Xenopus tropicalis: one gene and its partner. The protein of the gene in region 2 interacts with the protein of the main gene of each other region in a pairwise test. Links are inferred from orthologs where the notes say so. Each region holds a gene or a part of one and is shown on either strand. Other genes may lie near its edges. The genes, in order: pdzd11 and plekha5.

Evidence for each region.
Region 1: the proteins of plekha5 (region 2) and pdzd11 interact in binary tests that used the Homo sapiens proteins (3 or more experiments, as listed by UniProt). The two-hybrid records come from large-scale screens. The link is inferred for Xenopus tropicalis from reciprocal best matches to the Homo sapiens genes PLEKHA5 and PDZD11.

The regions. Positions count from the first base shown.
Region 1 is NC_030684.2:38,884,287-38,888,804, reverse strand, and holds the start of pdzd11 (PDZ domain-containing protein 11), read left to right. Parts: upstream 1-1,597; 5' UTR 1,598-1,645; coding exon 1,646-1,738; intron 1,739-4,504; coding exon 4,505-4,518. UniProt on the Homo sapiens protein: Mediates docking of ADAM10 to zonula adherens by interacting with PLEKHA7 which is required for PLEKHA7 to interact with the ADAM10-binding protein TSPAN33.
Region 2 is NC_030679.2:663,888-668,194, reverse strand, and holds the start of plekha5 (pleckstrin homology domain-containing family A member 5), read right to left. Parts: upstream 2,803-4,307; 5' UTR 2,722-2,802; coding exon 2,639-2,721; intron 1-2,638.

The DNA of each region.
Region 1 (4,518 bases), on a different chromosome or scaffold from region 2:
ATGCAAATATAGATATAGCCAAACCATTACAATGGTATGATGTTTCTATGTATGTTTATTTTTATTTATATAGCGCTACTTATGTATGCACCACTGTGCAGCAGAACAATGCATTAACAGAACAGGAACCAATGCAATAAATAGAAACAAATAAAAAGTAGTCACATTAAAGATTGAGTGCTAAATGTCAGAGACACTAGAAAGCAAAACCCTGCCTCATAGAGCTTACAATCTAATACAGGGATCCCCAACCTTTTATACCTGTAAGCCACATTCAAATGTAGAAAGTGTTGGAGGGCAACACAAGCATGAAAAAAGGTTCATGGGGGTAACAAGAAGACCTATAATTGGCTACTTAATAGCCCCTATGTGGACTGGCAGCCTACAGAAGGCTCAGTTTAGCATTATACTTGGTTTTTATGCCTCCAAAACTTGCCTCATTATCAGAAATTAAAAAATGAGCACCTGCTTTGAGGCCTCTGGGAGCAACATCCAAGGGGTTGGGGAACAACATGTTGCTCACGAGCCACTGGTTGGGGATCACTGATCTAATACAACCACAGATGGAGAGCTTCTTGCTACCCTCACCATGTATATGGATTCTTCCACCTCCCCCAGCCTCAAATACACACAATTATAAACCAGTATTTGGTGGAATCCCAGCACTTTCTGCACTACTCCGATCCGGCCAGATTTTGGATGCAGCATTCAGCCACATTTACTGCGAAGCGGTTTTGCACATTACAAGTTCCCTACACTGCCCATTAATAGAAAGTGAGAATAAAAGGCAACACAATTCCTTTGGCCCCCAAGTCCACCTTCCCCCCTGCACAATGTAGTGGTAGATTCCTAGGGACCTATAAGACTTTCATTTATTAGCAATCAGTATTAAGGCACATAAAGGAGGAAGAGTATAGATTGATAGAATCAGCTTTATTTACAGAAGGTTGCAGGGAACCCTGCTACATAGACTGAATTCTAGAATGGAAGACATGGAAAGAAAGATGCCACTGCAGTCTAGCTGAGCTGATCGCCAGTCTAGGTGTCACTGAACTACAGCTCCCATCACACCGTGTAAGAGCTCAGCAGCTAACGGAGCAGCAGGCTGTAAGCCCCAGCTGATGAATGACAAAGTAACAGACGGTGCGCCTTGTATCATTCATATTGCCCTCAGCTCACTGCCAGGGAGTCGCTCCATGGCTACCCCAGGCGGCTTTTCGCAGAAGACGCAAACGTTGAAAAAAGCGAAAATGGGCGTGTCTGTATCAGACCAGTCATGGGAATGAGCTGCCGCCGTGACGGAGAAATACAGAATAAGCCAATACTTACACAGCCGTACCGCGCCCCGTTCGCTCCACAGCCCCATGAAGCTCATTCCCAGCGCACAGAGTTTGGCTCCTTGTTAACGTCACTAGCAATTCGAACCTAGCGCCTTCCCTAGTGCGCATGCGCAAACTTCCCATTTCCGGGAAGGATTATGACTAGCGGCTGAACTGAAAACGAGGCTACCATTCATTTTGGAACGCAAGCTTAAATTAAATCTAAATAGCTTATTGGGCATGCGTCTTTGCCGACATGTTTATTGAGGGCAGCGGTGGAAAGATAACCTGCTGATACCGGAAAAACTTCGTACTCTATGTTAGGAATGGAAGGCCGCCCCAATTATGATGAATACCCATATCCAGTGGTCTTTCTGCCTCCTTACGAGAATCCACCAGCATGGATCCCCCCGCAGGAGGTAATCTTACTGCTCACTTTACGGTCACAAGCTTGATATATGCTGCAGTGTTGCTGAACTACGTTCGGTGTTTATTTCAGGGAAAAAACACTATGCAAGAGAATGCAATTCTAACCAGTTTTCCAATATACATTATTTATACATGTTCATTGAGATAAAGTTATTTGTAAATATAATTGCTACTAATAAGCAATGTCTGTCTGGCTGTTTATAGTTATTGTTCTGACTCATGATACTGTATGGCAGAAGCTAGCGAATTAACAGCTGTTTTCTGGAACATTGTTTTAGGCTAATGTCCCACGGAGAGATTAGTCGCTGCCATTTTTAAAAAGCGAGTTACAGCTACAAGTCGATCGCTTTGTCTCTACATAGAGAAGAATAGAAATCGCCAGTTATAATCCACTTCGAATCGCTTTATTGAGTGATTTGACAAAGAAAACATTGTCATTCAAAACTATTGGAATTGCTAAAGGTAAAACCTACTGAGCAGGAAGTCGCTGCGATTTCCCCATTGCACTGAATGTAATTTCTAATTGTGGGCGGGTAAAATGACACCTGGATTTGTGGGAAATAGAATCGCTCTGTTGTTGAAATCTCTAGTAATCGGTTGTTAGGAAAAGACAAGCAGCTTGTCGCTGGAACTCGCTTTTTAAAAATCGCAGCCACTAAATCTCCCCATGGGACATTAGCATTAGTCAGAACCAGTGAAGAGAAAGGAATAAACATTTACTTTTTCATCAGCAATAACCTTTACAAAGAATGTTAGAACCACAGAAATTTTAAATGAATGTATATTGGAAAGTTGCTTGGAAATATATTTTCTTTGTGAGTGCATAGAGCCAATCAGTTGTGCTGTGCAGAATTGTGGGCTGTGGAATTGTGAGTCAGGCAATCAGTAGATTCTGGCAAATGCCAGAGGGGCTGCTGTAAGATGCTATAGGCCAGTGATCCCCAACCAGTGGCTCGTGAGCAACATGTTGCTCCCCAACCCCTTGGATGTTGCTCCCAGTGGCCTCAAAGCAGCTGCTTATTTTTGAATTACTGACTTGGGGGCAAGTTTTGGTCGCATAAAGCCCAATGTAAAGCCAAACAGAGCCTCCTGTAGGCTGCCAGTCCACATAGGGGCTACCAAATAGCCAATAAGAGTCCTTATTTGCACCCCCAGGAAATTTTTCCATGCTTGTGTTGCTCCCCAACACTTTTTCCATTTGAATGTGGCTCACGGGTAAAAAAGGTTGGGGATCCCTGCCATAGGCAGTCACTGTTTATTGCAGTTGTCCCCAACCAGTGGCTCGTGAGCAATATGTGACACATTGGGCTACTAAATAACCAATTACGGCTTTTATTAGCCTTTATTAGTCACCCCGAGTGTCTTTTTTTCATGCCTGTGTTGCTCTCCGACTTTTTTTCTATTTAAATGTTGCTCATGGGTAAAAAAGGTTGGGGAAAATCGATCATTCCAAGAAAATGGAAATCTATAGACCCCCCACTATTCACAGAATGGCTAACCAACACAGAGGATATTAGGCAAATGGAGGAAATAACCTTCATGATACACAATAAAAGTCACCACTATAGGAAAATATGGACCCCCTGGATAGACTATCTAAGATCACTATAAAACATCATCAAAAAACAGCCATCTACATAGGGCACTCTAGAAGTAAGATTTACAAGTTATAGACAATTGAATACTTACTGGAAAATGTAGACATGACTTGATGACGGCTTGCCTGAAAATGAAACTGTACAACAATGTAAAGACTAACATTTGCAATGTTCCCCTCCCTACCCCTCCCTTTTTTCCTTATGTACCCCCTCCCCATATTTACAAAATGATAAATAAAGAATTTAAAAAAAAAAAAAAAGGTTGGGGACCCCTGGTTTAATGGGTTAGTGAGAGAGTTTTGGCCTCAGTCTTGACCTGTTCTGAGCAATGAAAGGGTCACCAGTTGCAGCTGTTAAATAAATGTTATAATCTTGCAGGCACTGTTAGCAACCATACCTGTGTATTTATACGGTGAAACTTTGTAAGAGTAATATGACATTAGGCATAAGAATGGCTACCCAGCACAGTACAGTGAGGTGTTCTGGATTATATCTGCCTTTTTAGCCTTGTTTACAATACAGAGTGGTGTTTACTATAAATAGATCTGTTCATGTACAATAATCAGATGTAAAATAATAACTTTTTACAACTCATTCTAAAGGTGGCCATACACGCACCGATAATATCGTACGAAACCTCGTTTCTTACGATATTCGGTACGTGTATGGTATGTCGGCGAGTTGACCGATATCGCAGGAAGCTGCTGATATCGGCCGACTCGCCGATCGAACCAGTTTGAAAATTTTGATTGGGCGCCATAGAAGGCGCCTGACCAAAATCTCCCTTCAGAGCTGAATCGGCAGAAGGAGGTAGAAATCCTATTGTTTCTACCTCCTTACCTGCCGATTCAGCCCTGAATGGTGTGTGGCGGATCTGACGATGTTTTGTGCGACCGATGTATGGCCAGCTTAAGTCTTCAGTGCATTTGGCATGTTCAGCCCTCAAAAAGGCTTATTCATTAAACTGCACTGCAACCTCAGGGAACTGTAAAATGAATTGCAGATATCCTTATCATTTACTAATGTGGCACCAGGGAGTTTCACTCTGCTTTATTACAGGATTATGTCAAACAGGAGCAACAGTTGTAGTAGAATTAAAAGGTCCTTGCTTTCAAGTGATTGTTGGGATCATTTTTTTTTTCTTGTTTTTACTCACAGAGAGTTTATAACCC
Region 2 (4,307 bases):
GAGTGGGGCACAGGGAGTAGATAGGGGTGAGTGTGACTCAGGTGAGTGGGGCACAGGGAGTAGATAGGGGTGAGTGGGGCACAGGGAGTAGATAGGGGTGAGTGGGGCACAGGGAGTAGATGGGGTGAGTGGGGCACAGGGAGTAGATAGGGGTGAGTGGGGCACAGGGAGTAGATAGGGGTGAGTGGGGCACAGGGAGTAGATAGGGGTGAGTGTGACTCAGGTGAGTGGGGCACAGGGAGTAGATAGGGGTGAGTGGGGCACAGGGAGTAGATAGGGGTGAGTGGGGCACAGGGAGTAGATAGGGGTGAGTGTGACTCAGGTGAGTGGGGCACAGGGAGTAGATAGGGGGTGAGTGGGGCACAGGGAGTAGATAGGGGTGAGTGGGGCACAGGGAGTAGATAGGGGTGAGTGGGACACAGGGAGTAGATAGGGGTGAGTGGGGCACAGGGAGTAGATAGGGGTGAGTGGGCACAGGGAGTAGATAGGGGTGAGTGGGGCACAGGGAGTAGATGGGGGTGAGTGGGGCACAGGGAGTAGATAGGGGTGAGTGGGGCACAGGGAGTAGATAGGGGTGAGTGGGGCACAGGGAGTAGATAGGGGTGAGTGGGGCACAGGGAGTAGATAGGGGTGAGTGGGGCACAGGGAGTAGATAGGGGTGAGTGGGGCACAGGGAGTAGATAGGGGTGAGTGGGGCACAGGGAGTAGATAGGGGTGAGTGGGACACAGGGAGTAGATAGGGGTGAGTGGGGCACAGGGAGTAGATGGGGGTGAGTGGGGCACAGGGAGTAGATAGGGGTGAGTGGGACACAGGGAGTAGATAGGGGTGAGTGGGGCACAGGAGTAGATAGGGGTGAGTGGGGCACAGGGAGTAGATGGGGGTGAGTGGGGCACAGGGAGTAGATAGGGGTGAGTGGGGCACAGGGAGTAGATAGGGGTGAGTGGGGCACAGGGAGTAGATAGGGGTGAGTGGGGCACAGGGAGTAGATAGGGGTGAGTGGGGCACAGGGAGTAGATGGGGGTGAGTGGGGCACAGGGAGTAGATGGGGTGAGTGGGGCACAGGGAGTAGATGGGGTGGTGGGGCACAGGGAGTAGATAGGGGTGAGTGGGACAGGGAGTAGATGGAGTGAGTGGGGCACAGGGAGTAGATAGGGGTGAGTGGGACACAGGGAGTAGATAGGGTTGAGTGGGGCACAGGGAGTAGATAGGGGTGAGTGGGTACACAGGGGAGTAGATAGAGTGAGTGGGGCACAGGGAGTAGATAGGGGTGAGTGGGACACAGGGAGTAGATAGGGGTGAGTGGGGCACAGGGAGTAGATAGGGGTGAGTGGGACACAGGGAGTAGATAGGAGTGAGTGGGGCACAGGGAGTAGATAGGGGTGAGTGGGACACAGGGAGTAGATAGGGGTGAGTGGGGCAAGGGAGTAGATAGGGGTGAGTGGGACACAGGGAGTAGATAGGAGTGAGTGGGGCACAGGGAGTAGATAGGGGTGAGTGGGACACAGGGAGTAGATAGGAGTGAGTGGGGCACAGGGAGTAGATAGGGGTGAGTGGGGCTCAGGGAGTAGATAGGGGTGAGTGGGGCACAGGGAGTAGATAGGGGTGAGCGGGGCATAGGGGTGAGTGGGGCACAGGGAGTAGATAGGGGTGAGTGGGGCACAGGGAGTAGATAGGGGTGAGTGGGGCACAGGGAGTAGATAGGGGTGAGTGGGGCACAGGGAGTAGATAGGGGTGAGTGGGGCACAGGGAGTAGATAGGGGTGAGTGGGACACAGGGAGTAGATAGGGGTGAGTGGGGCACAGGGAGTAGATAGGGGTGAGTGGGGCACAGGGAGTAGATAGGGGTGAGTGGGGCACAGGGAGTAGATAGGGGTGAGTGGGGCACAGGGAGTAGATAGGGGTGAGTGGGGCACAGGGAGTAGATAGGGGTGAGTGGGGCACAGGGAGTAGATAGGGGTGAGTGGGGCACAGGGAGTAGATAGGGTGAGTGGGGCACAGGGAGTAGATAGGGGTAGAGTGGGGCACAGGGAGTAGATAGGGGTGAGTGGGGCACAGGGAGTAGATAGGGGTGAGTGGGGCACAGGGAGTAGATAGGGGTGAGTGGGACACAGGGAGTAGATAGGGGTGAGTGGGGCACAGGGAGTAGATAGGGGTGAGTGGGACACAGGGAGTAGATAGGGGTGAGTGGGGCCAGGAGTAGATAGGGGTGAGTGGGGCACAGGGAGTAGATAGGGGTGAGTGGGACACAGGGAGTAGATAGGGGTGAGTGGGGGGCAGCAGGAGAGTAGATAGGGGTGAGTGGGGCACAGGGAGTAGATAGGGGTGAGTGGGGCACAGGGAGTAGATAGGGGTGAGTGGGGCACAGGGAGTAGATAGGGGTGAGTGGGGCACAGGGAGTAGATAGGGGTGAGTGGGGCACAGGGAGTAGATAGGGGTGAGTGGGACACAGGGAGTAGATAGGGGTGAGTGGGGCACAGGGAGTAGATAGGGGTGAGTGGGACACAGGGAGTAGATAGGGGTGAGTGGGGCAGTGAGTGCAGGTGAGTGTGAGTCTCCCCCCCCGGTACCCCAGGCCCAGCCCGTGCCTCACACTCACACTCACACTCACACTCACACTCACACTCACACTCACACTTACTTGATAAAGAATACGCGGCCCCCCCGGGAGATGCCGAAGCGCCAGGAGCCCGGCAGGGAGGGGAGCCAGTCCGGGGCCGCCATTTGTGTCAGCAGCGGGAGCGCGCACCGGGCACTACTCTCCCTTCCACTCGCACTCTCGCCCCGCCCCCTCCCTGCGCGCTCACTGCAACCCAATCAGCTGCAGCCTACAGGGACGCGCACTGCCCAGCCCCGCCCCCTCCCCTAGGGTCCCGGATACTGAGAGAGAAGCGCTGTCTGAGGGGAGAGCGGCACTGACTGGGGGTACAGCCTTGTGAGAGACAGCTGGGGGCACTGACTGGGGGTACAGCCTTGTGAGAGACAGCTGGGGGGCACTGACTGGGGACAAGCCTTGTGAGAGACAGCTGGGGGCACTGACTGGGGGTACAGCCTTGTGAGAGACAGCTGGGGGCACTGACTGGGGGTACAGCCTTGTGAGAGACAGCTGGGGGCACTGACTGGGGTACAGCCTTGTGAGAGACAGCTGGGGGCACTGACTGGGTACAGCCTTGTGAGAGACAGCTGGGGGGCAACTGACTGGGGGTACAGCCTTGTGAGAGACAGCTGGGGGGGCACTGACTGGGGGTACAGCCTTGTGAGAGACAGCTGGGGGGCACTGAACTGGGGTACAGCCTTGTGAGAGACAGCTGGGGGCACTGACTGGGGGTACAGCCTTGTGAGAGACAGCTGGGGGGCACTGACTGGGGTACAGCCTTGTGAGAGACAGCTGGGGGCACTGACTGGGGGTACAGCCTTGTGAGAGACAGCTGGGGCACTGACTGGGGGTACAGCCTTGTGAGAGACAGCTGGGGGCACTGACTGGGGTACAGCCTTGTGAGAGACAGCTGGGGCACTGACTGGGGGTACAGCCTTGTGGAGACAGCTGGGGGGCACTGACTGGGGGAACAGCCTTGTGAGAGACAGCTGGGGGGCACTGACTGGGGGTACAGCCTTGTGAGAGACAGCTGGGGGGCACTGACTGGGGGTACAGCCTTGTGAGAGACAGCTGGGGCACTGACTGGGGGTACAGCCTTGTGAGAGACAGCTGGGGGGCACTGACTGGGGGTACAGCCTTGTGAGAGACAGCTGGGGGGCACTGACTGGGGTACAGCCTTGTGTGAGACAGCTGGGGGGCACTGACTGGGGTACAGCCTTGTGAGAGACAGCTGGGGGGCACTGACTGGGGGTACAGCCTTGTGAGAGACAGCTGGGGGGCACTGACTGGGGTACAGCCTTGTGAGAGACAGCTGGGGGCACTGACTGGGGTACAGCCTTGTGAGAGACAGCTGGGGGGCACTGACTGGGGGTACAGCCTTGTGAGAGACAGCTGGGGGGCACTGACTGGGGACAGCTTGTGAGAGACAGCTGGGGGCACTGACTGGGGTACAGCCTTGTGAGAGACAGCTGGGGGGCACTGACTGGGGGTAAGCCTTGTGAGAGACAGCTGGGGGGCACTGACTGGGGTAAAGCCTTGTGAGAGACAGCTGGGGGGCACTGAACTGGGGGTACAGCCTTGTGAGAGACAGCTGGGGGGCACTGCTTGGGGTACAGCCTTGTGAGAGAAGCAGCTGGGGCACTGACTGGGGGTACAGCCTTGTGAGAGACAGCTGGGGGGCACTGACTGGGGTACAGCCTTGTGAGAGACAGCT